Neodiprion lecontei: one gene and its partner. The protein of the gene in region 1 binds, or shares a complex with, the protein of each later gene. Links are inferred from orthologs where the notes say so. Each region holds a gene or a part of one and is shown on either strand. Other genes may lie near its edges.

What was found.
Region 2: the proteins of origin recognition complex subunit 5 (region 1) and origin recognition complex subunit 4 are in contact, whole or in part, in a crystal structure (PDB 4XGC), measured with the Drosophila melanogaster proteins. The link is inferred for Neodiprion lecontei from reciprocal best matches to the Drosophila melanogaster genes Orc5 and Orc4. Residues at the interface, in NP_477132.1 of Drosophila melanogaster: Met1, Glu2, Glu20, Glu24, Leu25, Asp28, Ser30, Glu31, Thr32, Tyr33, Pro34, Ser35, Phe40, Gly41, His42, Asn100, Met101, Leu102, Val105, Glu106, Arg109, Arg115, Arg132, Asn137, Val141, Arg144, Gln146, Leu148, Asn150, Leu151; in NP_477320.1 of Drosophila melanogaster: Val9, Arg12, Arg13, Lys16, Glu17, Gln20, Arg21, Tyr23, Arg58, Asp89, Asn91, Leu92, His93, Val98, Ser102, Glu147, Tyr250, Arg253, Asn254, Asp257, Glu260, Tyr261, Ala299, Tyr300, Asn303, Phe306, Arg307, Ala310, His311, Arg313.

The regions. Positions count from the first base shown.
Region 1 is NC_060262.1:27,787,529-27,792,364, forward strand, and holds origin recognition complex subunit 5, read left to right. Parts: upstream 1-2,177; 5' UTR 2,178-2,179; coding exon of another isoform or gene 2,180-2,284; intron 2,285-2,725; 5' UTR 2,726-2,887; coding exon 2,888-4,201; 3' UTR 4,202-4,282; downstream 4,283-4,836. Other genes in the region: protein SDA1 homolog, read left to right, coding at 2,009-2,095, 2,180-2,284, 4,524-4,622, 4,693-4,836. UniProt on the Drosophila melanogaster protein: Component of the origin recognition complex (ORC) that binds origins of replication. DNA-binding is ATP-dependent, however specific DNA sequences that define origins of replication have not been identified so far.
Region 2 is NC_060263.1:16,666,755-16,671,805, forward strand, and holds origin recognition complex subunit 4, read left to right. Parts: upstream 1-1,883; 5' UTR 1,884-2,046; intron 2,047-2,262; 5' UTR 2,263-2,299; coding exon 2,300-2,515; intron 2,516-2,623; coding exon 2,624-2,950; intron 2,951-3,016; coding exon 3,017-3,514; intron 3,515-3,586; coding exon 3,587-3,739; intron 3,740-3,798; coding exon 3,799-3,963; 3' UTR 3,964-4,500; downstream 4,501-5,051. Other genes in the region: putative ammonium transporter 3, read right to left, coding at 4,635-4,819, 4,890-4,977, 5,045-5,051.

The DNA of each region.
Region 1 (4,836 bases):
TTTCGAGTACCGGGTTCTCAACCTCCCGGATCCCGCGCTTCGGGTCCGCTACCTGGTGAAACTCGATCGCCAGGACAAGCGCTTCGTAGTTCCTACGCTCTAGGTCCGCTACCTGGTGAAACTCGATCTCCAGGACGAACGCTCCCTAGTTTTGGCTGTCGAGGTCCTTGACCTGATGACGTTTAACTTTCCGGACTAATTTTCAAGTTTACAAATTTGATTATTGAAACATCATGTTTTGTCCTATCAAACCAATATGCATGCTTCAGATAACATTGTGAATCGGAAAAAAAAACCGAACGACCAGGATCAACAAATTGCAATTGGTGAGTGGTTGGCATTGTATACATAGGAATACGTGACAATAACGTCGTACAATTAGAGCTAAAATTGCTGTGTGTGGTGTGTCAAATCAGTTAGCACTTAGCTGATTGTTCTGTGATATTTTTAGACGAAATTTATTGTCTTAAAATCACAATACGTTATACTTACGTGCATGTGTAAACGTGATTTGTAGCATTATATAGACAAAATCTTACGGGCAGATTCGGTTTGCGCCACATGCACAAAGACAGTGTTTATTCTGTATACTGTGAAGCAAATACCAGAATTTTTTCCAATATACCTAACATACCTAACATAAGTAGAAACATACCTAAGAAGTAAAGACGCCTAACTCTGACTATAAGCCAACCCACTTGCTTTCGAAACTGTGTGACACGCTCATCACGCCGCAGGGTAAAAATAAATCTAATTGTATTATTAAGCAATCACTAGAGATAAGGGTTAAGCTCACCAGTCAGATCATTATGTACCAAGTAGCAATAATCGAATAAGGGAAAGATTAGTGCAGTAATAAGTTTAGCCCTAAGTTTGCGCGATAGCGCATTTCGATGATGTTTGAGCCACGATACAGGGAGAAATTAACTTTTTTGGAAATTTGCATAACCTCGAACCTCGTGAACATAAGGAAGCACTGTACCATTAACCGAGATAGGGGGCAGATCCTCCAGATCGATACGATTCAGATGCGTGCCACTCCCCGTAACAAAAACCTTGGACTTATTAAGATTGTGCTTGAGGCAGTTTTCAGCCGCATAATCGGCTATGACGCCAACATCGTGTGCGATCATGGCTTAACCTTCTCCTAAATCAGATGGGTGGCAGGTTAGATAAATTTTAGTATCATCAGCAAAAATAATTCGCTTCGAATGAGCAAGCTTAGCGCCGATATCATTGATGAATAATGAGAATAGCAGAGGCCCAAGAACGGACCCCTGGGGAAGGTGGTCGAAGGTGGAAGGAGGTGGTAGGAGTTGGTAGGGGGTGGTTGGAGGTGTTAGGAAGTAGTTGGGGGTGGTTGGCGGTGGACGCGGTTACGCGTCTTTTCGCGGGGATAATTGAGTTGATCGACATTTCTAAGTGGACATCAGGTACTCACTCTGTACCGACTCAATCTCAAGCTTCCATACGGACACTACTTTGGCTGCTACGAATGTCGGTGCGAGCCCGTTAGGTAGAGTCGATAGAGAGACCCTCCTACGCTCCCAGGCCCACCTGCGGCCACTTGCCCGCCGAAAATTGGTCACAAAAATTTACACAGGGGTATCCGTCTTTATGTTCTTCAGTTAACGTCTGTGTGTTTGATGATGGTTTGATGCGGGACCCCGTCATCTTTCATCTTTGGATGCCTATGGCGGGAACGTCGTTCGGTTTTGCAATCAGCGTCACAGACAATTTGTAGGTTATGTTCAGCGCTGGTTAGCACAACGACGCATCAAACGTGCACGTGCTATTTCAAAACGTCTAGATATCGTTTGGATGGTTGCAAATAAATAATAAACTTGTAAGTACTCAGAAATGAACGACTTTCCATGAATATGTGGAAACAGTGTACACATTTGGGTGAATCATCGACTCAACTCTGAATATTCTGTTTGGTTAAAAATATGATTATAACCTCCAAATAATAATTTTCAGTATTTCGTTAATTTTTCCGCAATAAAAAATGGTACGACACAACAATCAACTACCGGACAATCTTCCTCAACTGCAAAATTTAATCAAGCGTGATCCGGAGTCATACAAAGACGAGGTAAGCTGGTATATAATATTTTGCATTGAAATAAATATATTATGCATAATGGTCTGAGATAACAATGAATGCTTGATAATCTAGTTCTTGCAACAACACCGTCATTACAAATCAACTTTGGAAGTCTTCCGACTGACGCCTGATACATTCAACAAAAGTCTCGATGAATTGGTGATTTTTCTTGCACAGGTAAGGCTGATGTTTATAGCAATCTCTACTGTAAGTCCGTCCTGTTCGCATTTTTACTACTTAAACTAGAACTTAGCTTTACACTTTAATGCTTATAAATTTATAATAAATAGTAACTATTCTCATAAGCAAAGCTTTATTAACAGCAATTATGCAGAACCACTTCTTATTACACAAAAAGACATTATTGCCCTAGACTAGTGCAATTTTCATTTGCGATAGGTGGTGTTAGGTACAACAGAACGATGTTGTTTCGAATTGGCTACATTGTAAACAGCCAGAGTCTGCACTTTATTTCTCTTAAGCAGCGGTCTGATTTTTCGATGTAACTTGACAGAACACGTTTAATTTCAATCAGAAGGATATCATTTTTTCAATTGGCATAATTATTCTCAACACCACGAAAGATAATAAACAGAATCTATTGTTATTTTCTTTCAGGTCTGAGCAGCGTTTTGTCAAGTTGCATTGGGATCAGCAGTGTTGTATTTTGAGTTGATAAAGCATAAAGACTGTTGCCGAAAGCTTTAATAGATAGTTGGAGAGTATAATTTGTACTCTTTCAATTGTTTAATAAGTGTGCTTGGACTATTAATATTAACAATGAAGAAAACTATGGAAAAATGCCTGAAATCTCTCGGACAGAAAATAATATGCAGAGACAATCTTATAAAATGCTTGTTTTCTCTAATTGGTTTTTCAGATGAGGAAATGGTGCAAAGCATTTTTGTATATGGCCATACAGCAAGTGGCAAGTCTCTGGTTATTGAATCTCTGTTGGCTTACCTTAAATATAATGTTTGCATCATCAACTGCGTTGAATGTTACAGCAGTAAACTCATCTATGAACACATTTTAAATGACTTGTCTATGCATGAAATGAATTCGAAAAATAATTTCACAGTTTACCAGAAATGCGATAACATGATGGACTTTATTACTTACCTACAAATTGCAGTACAAAACGATAAGCGTCGTATAGTTATTGTGTTTGACAAATGTGATCGGCTGCGCGATATGGATGTGAATTTATTGCCTGCACTTGTGAGGCTGCGAGAACTGACTGGTTTGGATCTTTGCACAATCTTTGTCAGTGACATTGTTTGGGAAAAGTATTACTCAAAAAATGGTTTATTGAATCCTATTAAAATTCACTTTCCACAGTACACACGGGAGGACATGTTGAAAGTATTATTTTTATACAAGCCTAAGGATTACGAGGATGGATTTTACGTGAATTACTTAAATTTATTTTTATCTGTGTTTCTTAGATGTTGTAGAGATTGTAATGAGCTACGGTACATGGCTAAAATAAATTTTGATAAATATGTTGAACCTGTTGAATCGGGTAAAATTGATAAGAATGATGTACGCTCTTTGTGGCGGAATATATCTGGAATTTTAAAATCAAATTTAGAAGTTGTTTATCTCAGAGTGTCTACTGATGATTCTGAGCAACGTACTAAATTGTGTCAAGAGATTGAATCTACAACGAAATTGGCTTTGAGCTTTGAACTGCCGTTCTATGCAAAGTACATGCTCATAGCTGCTTACTTGGCTTCTTATAATCCAGCCAAAGATGACAAACGCTTATTTGTCAAACGTAGTAGTAAAAAGAAAAGGCGAAACACTGTGACTAAAAAACCTGCCAAACTTAACACACAGTTAGGGCCAAAGGCATTTACTTTGGACAGAATGCTCGCGATATTCTACGCGATTCTTGACGAAAAAGTAGGATTGACTGCCAATCTATTGGCACAAATACCCACCATGTGTCAGTTAAGACTATTGAGCATAGTAGGTGATAATAATTTAGATGGTCCCAAATATAAGTGTTGCGTCAGCTATGATTTCATCGTTATCATTTCTAAGACAGTTGGGTTCAATGTTAGGAATTATTTGTATGATTTCATTTAATGTATGTATTTAATGTGGACTTGCCAGTTTTCATGTTTCTTTTAACTATTTTCTATGGTTAGTGGGAACATAATATTGCTGTTAAGAATATTTATTTCCATTCAATTATTTCTTTAGTTGTATTACTGTAGTAGTATCTTTTGTATTTTTTTTTTGCTATAAATAAATGTGAAATAAGATAAAGACAAAATCCTTGGAACACTTAGTTAATGATCTGACCGTTCAAGCTAGAGTATCCAAAGTATGTAACTTCAGTTCATTACTCAAAACTCATTCATTCAGAATTCGTCGTATTATGTTTGCCTTGTTTCTATCATTGTAGGTAGCTCATTGCTATTCAGAAGAGTTGACAACTTTTCCTCAAGAGCTTGTGGATATTCTGCAAACACAAAACACTGTTCTGGACACTGGAATGAGAATGGTGACCAAAGAGTATTGATGTTTGGTGTACAGGTGTGGAAGATTGCAAATTAACGCATTTCATTTTACAGACGTTCTGCAGGGCACTAATATTACTTCGAAATAAAGGACTTCTGGAGCCAACTGCACTCTTGAGCTTGTTTTTTCAGCTACTGAGATGTCAGGATAAAGCTTTAAGACAATTCCTCGAAAACCACATTATAACAGATATCAAG
Region 2 (5,051 bases), on another chromosome or scaffold:
TTAGCACAAAGGAATGTATTCGAAGTATGTCGAAAATATTATTTTTCGCTCTGGGGAGTAAAACTATTAGCGTGAAAGTTTACGAATCGTCATCAACACTCCCAGCCTATCTAATTGTGGTGAACATCCCCAGCATATCTGATTGCGGTGTCGCCATCCGGTCGATTAGCACAAAAGAATGTATTCGAAGTACGTGGAAAATATTATTTTTCGCCTTGGGGGCAAACTGTTAGCGTGAAAGTTTACGGGTAGCGGCGGAAAATCAAAATGGTATGTCGAATGTAAAATTTTCGCCCTGGGGGTAAACTATTAGCCTGAAAGTTTACTGATCGTCATCAACATTCCCTGTCTATCTAATTGCGATGTTACCATCCGGTCGATTAACACAAAAGAATGTATTCGAAGTACGTGGAAAATATTATTTTTCGCCCTGGGGACAAACTATTAGCGTGAAAGTTTACGGGTGATGGTGAAAAAATCAAAATGGCCGCCATCAAAATGGGCGCTCGATAGCGAACGTCATAGCGAAAATCACATTATCAAACTGTCCGACGATAAAAAATCAAAATGGCTGCTCATCCGGCTAAGCAAAAATCAAAATGGCTGCTCATCCGGCTAGGAAAAAATCAAAATGGCTGTTATCAAAATGGCCGCTCGTCCGAATCAAAATACATATACAAACAAATATCGTCATAAAAAAACAAGGCCAAACTAAAGGCATAAAATACTTTACACACTATTTCCGTGAAAACTGCAAGCCCTGGTTCCACAACAAAGACCTCTCAAGAGAATGTATAGTCACGATAAACCGTTGCAGAGCGAACCACTACCACCTACGCGCCTTCCTTTTTCGCATAAATGTTACAGACAGCCCAAATTGCGACTGCGGTGAATTTGAACAAAATATTAAACACGTACTGTGGCAATGCGTATTATTTGACCAACAAAGAATAGAGTTTTTCAGCAATCTATCTAACTCTAACTTACGCCCCCCACTGAATATTGAATTAATAATTTGTAAACCTAACTTAAGCGCCTGCATCTATATTCAATGCTTTCTGAATACATGTAACCTCAAAGTATAAATTGTCAAAACTCAATACAAATAAGTATAATAACTACATCAACCATTATAAGACTATTGTAAACTAAACTTTTGTATGCAGATATAAACCCTTACAAGGGTTTCAAATGCTTAAATAAAAAAAAAACAAAAAAAACGTGTCAAATGAACGCGGGGATGTAGATTTTTACTCGTAATAGGGTACGCCAGAGAATTTTTACAGCATGGCATCTAAATTTACAAGTATCGAGACAGCGAAATTCACCGGTTCGATTTTCATTGTTACAACGCGTGGCTCGCGGTGCTGTCGAATAAAAAGTGGTCGTTAGATTATGCATACTCGAATCATCATCAACCCGGAATATCATTCTTGCATACAAATTGACAATTTACCGTATAGGAAAAGTGTCTCATCAGAATTGGATGCAGACTATTTGCGGAAGATTTCGGGGCTAGGTGCCGAGCTCACGAGCTGAAAGATGGAATGCCTAGAGGAGATACATGGAATGAACACACTTTGTGCATCTGAAAGGGGACCCTCGGACATGGTTTCAATGGATTGCAGGTATGTTGTAGAGGTATTTGCCCCAAGTTTTGTCACTAGGATAACGGGAATTTATGCACTGTGGCTTGGTTTCCGAGAAAATCGATGGCTTACTAAATATCAATAACAAACATTGATTTAGAAAGTTTTTTTTCAAATTGCGAATCCGTCAGGGCGCAGCGTCTGATGCGCTGTTTGAATAAAACAAGCAATGCGATCAACGTTACCGACGGACGTTACTCAATTTTCCCGAAATGGTTACGGATCTTTCAAGGGTCGTGATCACAGCTCGGGCAGTAAACTGGGCGAAAGTGTTTGTGTTTGGATCTGTGAATTGTAAACATTTAACCGTGTCAGCCTGCCGAGTGCGGTGAAGTTCTCGTTTTTTAAATCCAATAAGTTGAAATAAAATTCTCCCTGAACTGTGAATTTTTTCACCGTAAGTATACAAAATTCTGTCTTATTTTAGTCGACACTATTTCTTGGTAATCGGATTGCGATTTTTATTCATCATTTTTTCACCAACGATTATCGCACCGCACGCAACCGTCATAACCTAAACGTTTATTTAATCGTCCGTACGGATAAATGAATGTTATAAAACTAATCGCACGAATAACGGGCTAAAAATGTTGTAATCATTATCTTTCGATAGTGAAAGAAATCAAACTCAGAAACAAACAAGAATAATTATGAGCAAAAAGCAGAACATGGCTATAGATTTCCACGACAATATGATACTACTGACCAGAAAGTATCTGAAGCGAAAAATCATGTGTCCAGAAACAAAGTTCAGGCATCACGTCAAGGAGCGAGTACATATTCTGGATTTGTTGAAAAGGACCGTTGAAAACGGCGAGAGCAATTCGGCCTTACTGATCGGTCCCAGAGGATGTGGAAAAACCACGGTAAGATGTGGCCAAAAACATGTATGCAAATATCGGAGACTAAAAGACACAAGAGTAACGCAAAGTAGCCTGTAAATCTTTACAAAACGTATCTTTCATTGAATTTAGCTCATCAACAGCGTACTGAAAGAGCTGTCGTCGTTAAAATCATTCAAAGATGAAGCACTTGTCGTGAACTTGCATGGTTTAGTTCATACGGATGATCGTCTTGCGCTCAAAGACACCACACGTCAGATGCAGCTGGAAAACGCAGTCGGTGACAAAGTATTTGGCACGTTCGCAGAGAACTTGAGCTTCCTTCTTGAATGTCTCAAGTCTGGGGACAAGACTCAGTCCAAGCCGGTAATTTTTATTCTGGACGAGTTCGACCTGTTTTGCGCCCACCGAAACCAGACTCTGCTCTACAATTTGTTCGACGTTGCGCAATCTGCACAGGTGAGCATCACGCAAGAAATAAAACAATAGTTATATATATCCCTCGTTGTCCTCAATTTTGTCCAGGCCCCGATATGCGTGCTTGGAATCACCTGCAGGCTTGATGTTATCGAACTTTTGGAGAAGCGTGTCAAGTCCAGGTTCTCACATAGACAGATATTCCTTTTTCCGGGCGACACATCTGGCTCAGATCAACCCACCTCAGCTTTTGACGATCGTCTCAAGTTGTTCCAGCACCTCCTCAGTCTGCCTGATGACGAAAATGTAAACGAAACCGATCAGCAGTACGAGGATTGTAAAATAAATCCGCAGTTCGGCGCCAGATGGAACGAGTACATAAAAAGTCTGACCGAAAACATGACTATGGTCAATTTTTTGAAGAGAATGTACCAGCTGGATGTCAGCGAGAGGAGTTTCAGAAACTTTTTGGCCCTCGTTATATCGTCGCTGTCCGAAAAACATCCGAAATTAGAAGTGAATGATTTCGTTGAGGCTAATAAGTTCTTCCATCAGGACGACAAGGTTCTCACCCTTCAAGGGTTGTCTGTTCTAGAATTGTGCCTGGTGAGAATTTCACCTTCGAACGAAGGGACGCGAGTCTGTTGAATTTCCGATTTTATCCACCTCTTTTTGCAGATTATCGCCATGAAACATCAGACTGAAATATACGACGACGAGCCGCTGAATTTCGAAATGGTTTTAAACAGATACGTCAAGTTCGCTAATCAGAATTCGTCTATTCAAACCGTCCAGCGACCTGTGATCATGAAGGCTTTCGAGCACATCAAGGTGAGCATCAATGTGCCATTTATACTCCCATTATAGATAACGGATGATTGAAATTACAGAATTTGGAGCTGATTCAGCCTGTTGGAGGGCCGAACACACGAGTTGAGAAGGAGCATCAGCTCTATAAGTTTTCACTCGGTTGGCAGCAGATAGCCGATGCCGTTAAAAACTATCCCGAGCTTCCGACTGAAGTTTCCCAATGGGCGGTCAGCAGTTTACAATAGAAAATCCGTGCATTTAACTAACTTTAATGAAATGTGTTAAACTTGAACAGTTCTTTGACAATAGGATTGTTGTTTCGTTTTATTTTACATTTTTTTCCCTTCGTATTGAACGACGTTCCCGTTACCAGTATTCATAGGGTTTTACGTGCAACCCTTATTATTGTATTCGATAGATAAATATGAAACATGCGTAGAGTTTCTAGTTCTATACTTATATTTAATTATGTTGGTTATACCTTGAAATTGTAGACTAATTGTGTAGCCAATATTTTATTATTATTAGTACTACTGTAAAGTCTAGGCGAAAAAATGAATTACGCGATTAACAGATCTCGTCTCTTGATTATCTCATTGTATTATTTATCTCTTACGTACATGTATTTTTCAAGTTCAAAGCTTTAATTTATTTATTTACACTATTTATTTGCATTTCGGAAAACACGAGAAAACAAAATGAAAAAGGAAACTAGAGAAGGCAGAACAAAGAGTAAGAGAAAAAAAAAAAATAAAAAAACGTGTGGATTGTATATTTACTCAGTAATAAGACGTGTTTGTATTTCTATTTATACAAAAGTTTCTATAATATAAATTTATACATTGAAAAACGATGTAAAGTGAAAATCTTATCTTGTTTTTACGTGTTTACTTGTTTCATCCATCACACCTCGTTTTTACTCAATCCACGACAACTTTGGAGTCTCTTTGCCCTTCAATGATTTTTTTAAAAGATCCTTCACCCCGGATTGTATTCGGTTGTTTTTCAAACCAGTCACTTTTCCCGGACTGCGCGCCATTAATTTCTTCAGCTTTTGGGCTCTCTGGCTGCGGTTGTATCTCTCCAAGTACGATTCGTGCCCTGTGGAATCGAGTTGATAAATTTTTATCAATTCCCCCTCTTAAATGCAACACGATAAAAAATATCAAACCTGGGTTGAATCCTATTTTCAAAACATTCTCCAGTCGAATTTGATCCGGGAATGGACGAAGCGCGGAAACCGCTCTGCTCACTCCCACCTGAAAATTAAATTGAAACGTATGCGTTAAAATTCACACGCGCGAAATCACTACCTAATCTACCCACCTGCACG